Macaca fascicularis: one gene and its partner. The protein of the gene in region 1 purifies or fractionates together with the protein of each later gene. This does not show direct contact. Links are inferred from orthologs where the notes say so. Each region holds a gene or a part of one and is shown in the gene's direction. Other genes may lie near its edges.

Evidence for each region. Proteins that work in one complex are often made in the same cells at the same time.
Region 2: the proteins of UXT (region 1) and RPAP2 purify together in Homo sapiens (affinity purification with mass spectrometry; 4 studies listed by BioGRID and IntAct, counting the BioPlex papers as one, with this or other methods). This does not show direct contact. The link is inferred for Macaca fascicularis from reciprocal best matches to the Homo sapiens genes UXT and RPAP2.

Annotation. Positions count from the first base shown.
Region 1 is NC_088395.1:47,757,470-47,761,218, reverse strand, and holds the start of UXT (protein UXT), read left to right. Parts: upstream 1-1,193; 5' UTR 1,194-1,235; coding exon of another isoform or gene 1,236-1,447; coding exon 1,448-1,545; exon of another isoform or gene 1,546-1,554; intron 1,555-2,501; coding exon 2,502-2,583; intron 2,584-2,725; coding exon 2,726-2,793; intron 2,794-3,075; coding exon 3,076-3,183; intron 3,184-3,417; exon of another isoform or gene 3,418-3,555; intron 3,556-3,749. Other genes in the region: uncharacterized protein, read right to left, coding at 1,236-1,449. UniProt on the Homo sapiens protein: Involved in gene transcription regulation. Acts in concert with the corepressor URI1 to regulate androgen receptor AR-mediated transcription. Together with URI1, associates with chromatin to the NKX3-1 promoter region.
Region 2 is NC_088375.1:142,136,135-142,139,858, reverse strand, and holds the start of RPAP2 (putative RNA polymerase II subunit B1 CTD phosphatase RPAP2), read left to right. Parts: upstream 1-903; 5' UTR 904-927; coding exon 928-1,000; intron 1,001-2,044; coding exon 2,045-2,090; intron 2,091-3,614; coding exon 3,615-3,724. Other genes in the region: GLMN (glomulin), read right to left, coding at 321-389.

The DNA of each region.
Region 1 (3,749 bases):
GATTCATCCCATGGTCTGGATTCTTCTCCAGGCAAAGGCCCATTCTTGCTGGGTTATAAGTTCTTGTTTGAAAATCTAACCTGAATTTAAGGCATTTCAGTGATAGACTGGATTAAGAAAATGTGGCACATATACACCATGGAATACTATGCAGCCATAAAAAAGGATGAGTTCGTGTCCTTTGTAGGGACATGGATGCAGCTGGAAACCATCATTTTCAGCAAACTATCACAAGAACAGAAAACCAAACACTGCATGTTCTCACTCATAGGTGGGAACCGAACAATGAGATCACTTGGACACAGGAAGGGTAACATCACACATCGGGGCCTATTGTGGGGAGGGGGGAGGGGGGAGGGATATCATTAGGAGATATACCTAATGAGTTAATGGGTGCAGCACACCAACATGGCACATGTATACATATGTAACAAACCTGCACGTTGTGTGCATGTACCCTGGAACTTAAAAGTATAATTTAAAAAAAAAAAAATCTAAACTGAAAAACAAATTCACTCAGTCACTCTAGTGCATAAGAATAAATTCACAAAAACCTTACCATTTAAATAAAAACATGGGAACTATGCCTAACTACAAGATGGCCAATATTCTGCAGAGGACTTCAGCCACCCTCTCCATTTGACTATCAAACGAGGTGATTAGATATAGTGCGTTGTCAATTTCCGCTTGAGCCTCAGTTATAGGTTGCAGGTACAGAGCTGGAGTTATCAAAGATGAATTTTAGAAAATCTGTCTCTGTTTAAAACCTTTTAAGTGCTCATACTCAGTCCCATTGCCAGGAGTGAAACCCAAACCTCCCGTATGACAAATCAATATCCAAGCCGACAGATCACACGGGATCTTCCTTATAGACCAGAACCATAGTCAATTCTTAGGTCCTTTTAAATATTAAACTCTTCACTTCCTCTCTCTACCTCTACCTGTGCGTCGCGCCTAACTTAGAACCGCCAAATCCCATTAAATCCCACCCTCACCAGCGACGCACGGTCTCCATAGGCTCCACGCGCCGCTTTTGCAGTCCCCCATTGGCCGGTTTATTGCCAGATGGCCTGCTCCCACGCCCTAGTCATCTTTGATCTCCTCGGATTCCGTGAAGCCCCGCCCTTCTCTTCTCCCCTTTGGCCCGTCTTCCCCAGCTGGCTATTTGGTTGGCCAGCGCGCTTGCCACTTACGTCATTCACCCGCGCCACCCGGAAGCCGCGGTTCCTACCAACCGTTTTTATTGCTGGCGGCCCTGAGGTAAAGGCCGCGCTTCGGTGTCCCTGGGTGGCCGGGTCCCCGAGTTGGGAGGGGCGGAAGGCTGAGCCCCCAGCTTGAGCCGGACAAGTCGATTCCCAGCGTTGAGAGGGTAGAGATGAACTGTGTGTGAGGCCAAACTGGAGCGGTCAACGTGGTCTTCCCCCTCCCCACTCCCCAGGAGCCCATCATGGCGACGCCCCCTAAGCGGCGGGCGGTGGAGGCCACGGGGGAGAAAGTACTGCGCTACGAGACCTTCATCAGTGACGTGCTGCAGCGGGACTTGCGGTGAGTGACAGTGCAGAGGGCGGGGCGTCTGGAACATTCCACGTGGTGGGTGGGGCGTTCAGAGTTAGGGCCAACCCTTTGGATTGGTGGGCGAGGCGTTCAGAGTCCGGCCCCGCGCTCCTTGGAGCGTGAAGTGGTGATGATATCCGGGGTGCAGTTTGGCTGGGACGTGGCGTTCATAGCAGGGGGCGTGTCAGCGCATGCGCGGCCTCCGATGTTTGACGGATTAGGGCTTGTTTTCTGGAGCCACAGTTCTCAGGTTCGAATCCTGGCTCGGCCATTCTTCATCCTTGTGAATACGTCATACCTCGCCTTTCTGTGCCCTATAAACTTCTCTGTGAAATGGGGAGTTTTCTGGAACCTTCCCCATACAGTGGTTTTGAGTTTTTCATATGTCCCATCTTTGTAAATAATTTAGTAGCATGGATGCCTGAAACATAGTAGAGGTTAAGTATGAAGAAATATTATTGCAATTTTTGTTAATCTAAGCAAGAAGTAAGGTGTTCAGAACTAGGACTATGAGCATCCTAAAAGGGATGGAGGATTTTTCTAGGGTGAGGATGGGACATTATGATTGGAGTTCAGTATTGGGAGTGTAGTAATAGTAATAATAGCTAACATGTAGAGAGTTTACCATTTGGTAGGCATTATTCTAGATGCTTTGAGTAAATGCTCATTTAATCCTAATGACTCTACAAGGTAATACTGTCATCTGCATTTTATAAATGGGGAAACCAAGTCCCAAACAGGTTCCTTACTTGCCAAAGCCACACATCTATAAAGGACAGAGCCCAGATCCAAACCCAGGCAGTCTGACCCAGAGCCCAAAATTAACTTGTACACTAAAAAGCCTTTTCAGCGTATGGTGACGTGAGAGTCTCAGAGGGTCATGATATGAGGTATACTAGGAGGAATGGGGCTGCCTATTGGTCACCATTGTACTTTCATCCCATCAGAAAGGTGCTGGACCATCGAGACAAGGTATATGAGCAGCTGGCCAAATACCTTCAACTGAGAAATGTCATTGAGCGACTCCAGGTAAAGACTATGGGGTTGGGTATCATTTTTTTGGTGTGTGTGGGTAAGGGAGGGAAATGGGAAGAGAGACTCCAGAGCCAAACCTGTCACCTGACCTAAGAGTTCACCACTGACCCCTACCTCTTTTTCCCTGGCCCCACAGGAAGCTAAGCACTCGGAGTTATACATGCAGGTGGATTTGGGCTGTAACTTCTTCGTTGACACAGTGGTGTGAGTGTCTACCCGCCCCTCTGAGCCCACAGGGTTCAGCTTACCCCTTCCCTCATGCAACATATATTTTTTTGAGTATCTTCTATGTACCAGGCACTATACAAGGTTTATTATCCCAGTAGGATATAAGCTAGGCGCTGGGGATGTGACAGTGAATAAAATAGGACAAAATCCCTGCCTTCCCAGAGCCTCAATTTGGGGAAGGGTGGGGAGCAAAACATACACTCTGCTAAACAGTGATAAGGACTTCCCCCGCACTTCCTCTAACCTCTCTTTCCTCAGCCCAGATACTTCACGCATCTATGTGGCCCTGGGATATGGTTTTTTCCTGGAGTTGACACTGGCAGAAGCTCTCAAGTTCATTGATCGTAAGAGCTCTCTCCTCACAGAGTAAGTCCATTCCATGAGGATAGTGTGTAAAAATACCACCATTTCCAACACTCTTCTCCCTTTCCCCATGGCTGCCTAGAATGATACTTAAGGACTCATCTCCCCTCCTCCTCAGAGCTGGGGCTGAAGAAATGTGGTTGCAAAGCCCATGTATAGCACATAATAAGCATTCAAAAAATGATCTTTGTATCGTTCATTCATGCAGACATTTATTGGGAATCTTCTGTATGCCAGGCACTGTGCTTAGCAGTGGGAATGCAGCAGTGAACAAGACAGAAGAGTTCCTTGAAGGCTTAAAATCTAGAAGGACTATACTGTTATACATAAATACAATTATGACCAGATCCATGAGGTCTCAGCCTGTTAGAGTTGGTAACAAGAAAACTAGTTACCTGTGATTTCACTTCCTGCTAATTTTACTATTCATTCACTGTGTTCCTGCCACACTGACCTTCACATGCTTCTTTCAGCACCCCAAGAATGATCCCACCCCAGGGCAATTGCCGTAGCTGTTCTCTCTGCCTGCACTGCCCTTTTCCCCAGTACCCACATGGCTTCCTTTCTCC
Region 2 (3,724 bases), on another chromosome or scaffold:
TTTTTGGTCCAATAGCATGCTAGGAGAAAATGTAAAGTTCTAAGGTTGAAATGTTATTACTGAATCTTAGTATGTTTGTCTAAGAAAATAAAGTGTTTTTTAAGAAGCCCTTATTGCATCTTTTAAGTTTTCTAGGAGCATAGTTTTGAAAGCTATTTTGAAGGAAAAAAAGAAAAAACTCCCGAGTACTCCCAAGAGGCGAGGCAAATACGAACTAAAGGGCTTTTAAAAAGCAAAGTACTTCTTTTATGAAAAAAAAATTCCAAAAGGTGGACCTGAAATCAAAATTCTAATCATTAGGGGATTTTTTAATGTCTCACCTCACAAAAATTGGGGTGCAACACAAGTTTATCTATAGGGGGTGAAGATTCAGATGCCCTCCATCCCATTTCTCTCTAGGAGTTGCAGTACCCAAAGTGATCAATCCAGCTAGTGAAATCACTGTATCACACGGAGGCAAGGCAACGGCGGCCTTCAGGAGGAGACCATCGCTTCTCCCGGAGGCAAGACTCAGCCCCAAACCCTCAGTAGTGGCGCGGGTCAGCCCGGTTCTCAGCGCAGCGCGCTATAAGGCGAATAACACCCCAGCGCGCGTGCTGGCGGCATCAGAGGAAGCCATGTCTTCCGATTCCTGCTCGCCTAGGTGTGCAGGCTCCACCACCTCGCGTGGCCTAGTCGGCCCGCGGCACCAAGTCCGCCGCGGCTCACGGCCAACCGCGAGCCCTGGCCACCCCGAACCTCTCCACTACTCCACTTACCGGCCAGATCTCTCGCCTCTCCCAGCCGCCACCACCTCCTCCGGCCACTTAGCCCGCTCTTCTGGCCCCGCCCCACGCCAGCGGGGTCCGCCTCGCGCTACGCGTAGAAAGGCGGGGCCTCGGGGCGAGACGCCGGAGCTAGTCCGGGTTCCGCAGACTACTCTCCCCGATGGCGGACTGTACTGGGCCGGGTTCTGCCGGCCGCAAGGCCGGGGCTCCTCGCCGCTCTCGAAAAGCCACAGGTAGGAGCAAGGATGTCTTCTCACTTTGGGACCCTGAAAGCTGGACCCCGATCTCGAGTTCTAAACCGAAGCGCACGGGCGATCCTGAAAGGCTGCTTCAGGGGAGGGGTTCTCCCAGGTAGAGAAGGCCGAAAGCTTCCCACCGCCGTCCGCTCCCCCTGGGAAAGATCTCCTGGCCGGCCCTCACCCCTTTACGCCAGTGTTGCAAGATTTCCCTCACGCGGGCCATGGCCCCAGCCTCTGAGAGAAAGTACAGTGGAGGCGCCGGGAACCCAGGCCTAGGGTCCCCGGGGTTCGGGGCAAGTGACTAGGGCAGCGTTGGCAGCTGGTCTTGAACCTAGGACCGGTCCTCCTTTCCAGATTGCTTGGGTGCCCCGTTCTTTGAGGTGCCGGACTCCCCTCTTCTCCCAAAGAGGACGTTTGGCAGACGGAGAGAGAGGTTTCCCTAAAAAGTACCCAGATCTCAGATTTTCAGGAATGATTAAGCAACTATGATACAGAAGAAAATTCAATCCCCAAAGAGATACATTTTAACCAAGAAAAATTAGACAGTAATCAATTTGCAAAAACAAATTGCTTGCCCTTTACCTATTTCATTTTGATTTACACACGATTGGACATAAAATAGGTGGAAAAGAAGAAAAATTCGTCTAGTTTGTTATTTGTGTAGGAATCTATCTTGTACCTAATGTGTTTGTGTAGGCCTGACCTACTGCCACCATGTGTAGCTTAACTGCGGGGATGCATTTTGAGAAATGCGTTGTTAAGCGATTTCATCCTTATGTGACCATGATAGAGTGCACTTACACAAACTTAGATGGTATAGCCTACTTACACACTAGGCTATATGGTACAGCCTATTGTTCCCAGGCTGCAAACCTGCACAGCATGTTACTGTACTAAGTACTGTAGGCAATTGTATATCTAAACATAGAAAAGGTACGGTAAAAATACAGTATTTTAGTCTTATGAGACCGCTGTCTGTATGCTGTCCGTCGTTTACGAAATGTCATTATGTGGCACATGACTGTATTTTTGTTGTAGGTACTAAACAGACAACTACTTTGAAACAAGAAGATGCTTCTAAAAGGTATGACAGCTACATGGACAACTACAATGGCATATCTACTTATCTCATATTACTTGTACCAATTTTAAAACTAATAGTTACCTTTTTTTATTTTTAGAGAAAATTATCATGAGAGGGAAGGGAAAGATCTGGGAAGGCCTATAAATTCTCACATAGACTGTTAACATTCCTCTACTCCAGGCTTTAAGAAAACCAAACTAAGCACTCAGACTGCTAGTGAAGGCGTGAGTGTCTGTAGAAGGTGTTTGTTTTTCACCACTTCAGGTACACTCCCCTTTTATTGCTTTATATGCCAGAGACTCACTCTCCAAGTTTCTCTGTCACTCCAAGAAACCTTTTCTGTTCTTTGTTACATCAAGTCCAGATTTTCATCAAAAAGCTGTCCTGGCCGGGCATGGTGGCTCACGTCTGTAATCCCAGCACTTTGGGAGGCCGAGGCGGGTGGATTACGAGGTCAGGAGATCGAGACCATCCTGGCTAACACGATGAAACCCCATCTCTACTAAAAATACAAAAAATTAGCCAGGCATGGTGGCGGGCGTCTGTGGTCCCAGCTACTCGGTAGGCTGAGGCAGGAGAATGGCGTGAACCCGGGAGGTGGAGCTTGCGGTGAGCTGAGATCGCGCCACTGCACTCCAGCCTGGGCAACAGAGTGAGACTCTGTCTCAAAAAAAGAAAAAAGCTGTCTTGTACTAGTTCTGGTTCTCAAAAGGCAAGATATTACCACATATCACACAAAGTTTTAGAAGAGGAATAGAATGTGAAGGGTATTAAAAGTATATGTAGCTATGATTTTCATTTTGTGAAGACTTATTAATCTTATATTGACTTTGGTCTTAATTTACTCATTCTTTCAAAAATTATTTACTGAGTATAAGATATACCAGACCTGTGTTAGGCTCTGAAGATATGGTGAACAGAATAGACACAATTCTTGTCTAGTGGAACAGAGGAATAAATAATAGTTAATTAACATAAACACATAATTACAAATTGTGATAAGCACTATGAAGGAAAAGGCTGTGATGTTACGAGAAAGAATAATCAAGTCTAATTTAGTTGGAAGTGGGTGGCAAGGAGGTTAGTTGTGAGTTTTCAGGGAAAGCCTTATGCTGAGACCTGCATGCTAAGTAGACATTAACCAGACAAAGAGTATATAAAGATTTCTGTATGTGCAGTGCAAAAAGTAGCTTGTTTCCTTTTTGAAAAGTATTGGATCAAAAGTAACAGCATTAGAAAATAGAAATTTGGCCGGATATGGTGGCTTATGCTGGTGATCCCAGCACTTTGGGAGGCCGAGGTGGGAGTATTACTTGAAGCCAGGAGCTTGAGACCCGTCTAAGCAGCATAGTGAGACCTTGTCTTTACAACTAAAAAGAAATAAATATTTTTATTCAAAAAAATTTTTTAAATATGTTTAAATTTAAGTGGCAAAATAGTGAGTTAGGTTAGTGTTGTATTTTAAAAAATGGAATATTGGACATGAAGCTTATAAGTAGATTAACTTTCTCTTTCAAATTTTAGGAAAGCAGAACTAGAAGCAGCTGTGAGAAAGAAGATTGAATTTGAAAGAAAAGCTCTACATATTGTTGAACAGCTTTTAGAAGAGAATATTACAGAAGAGTTCCTAATGG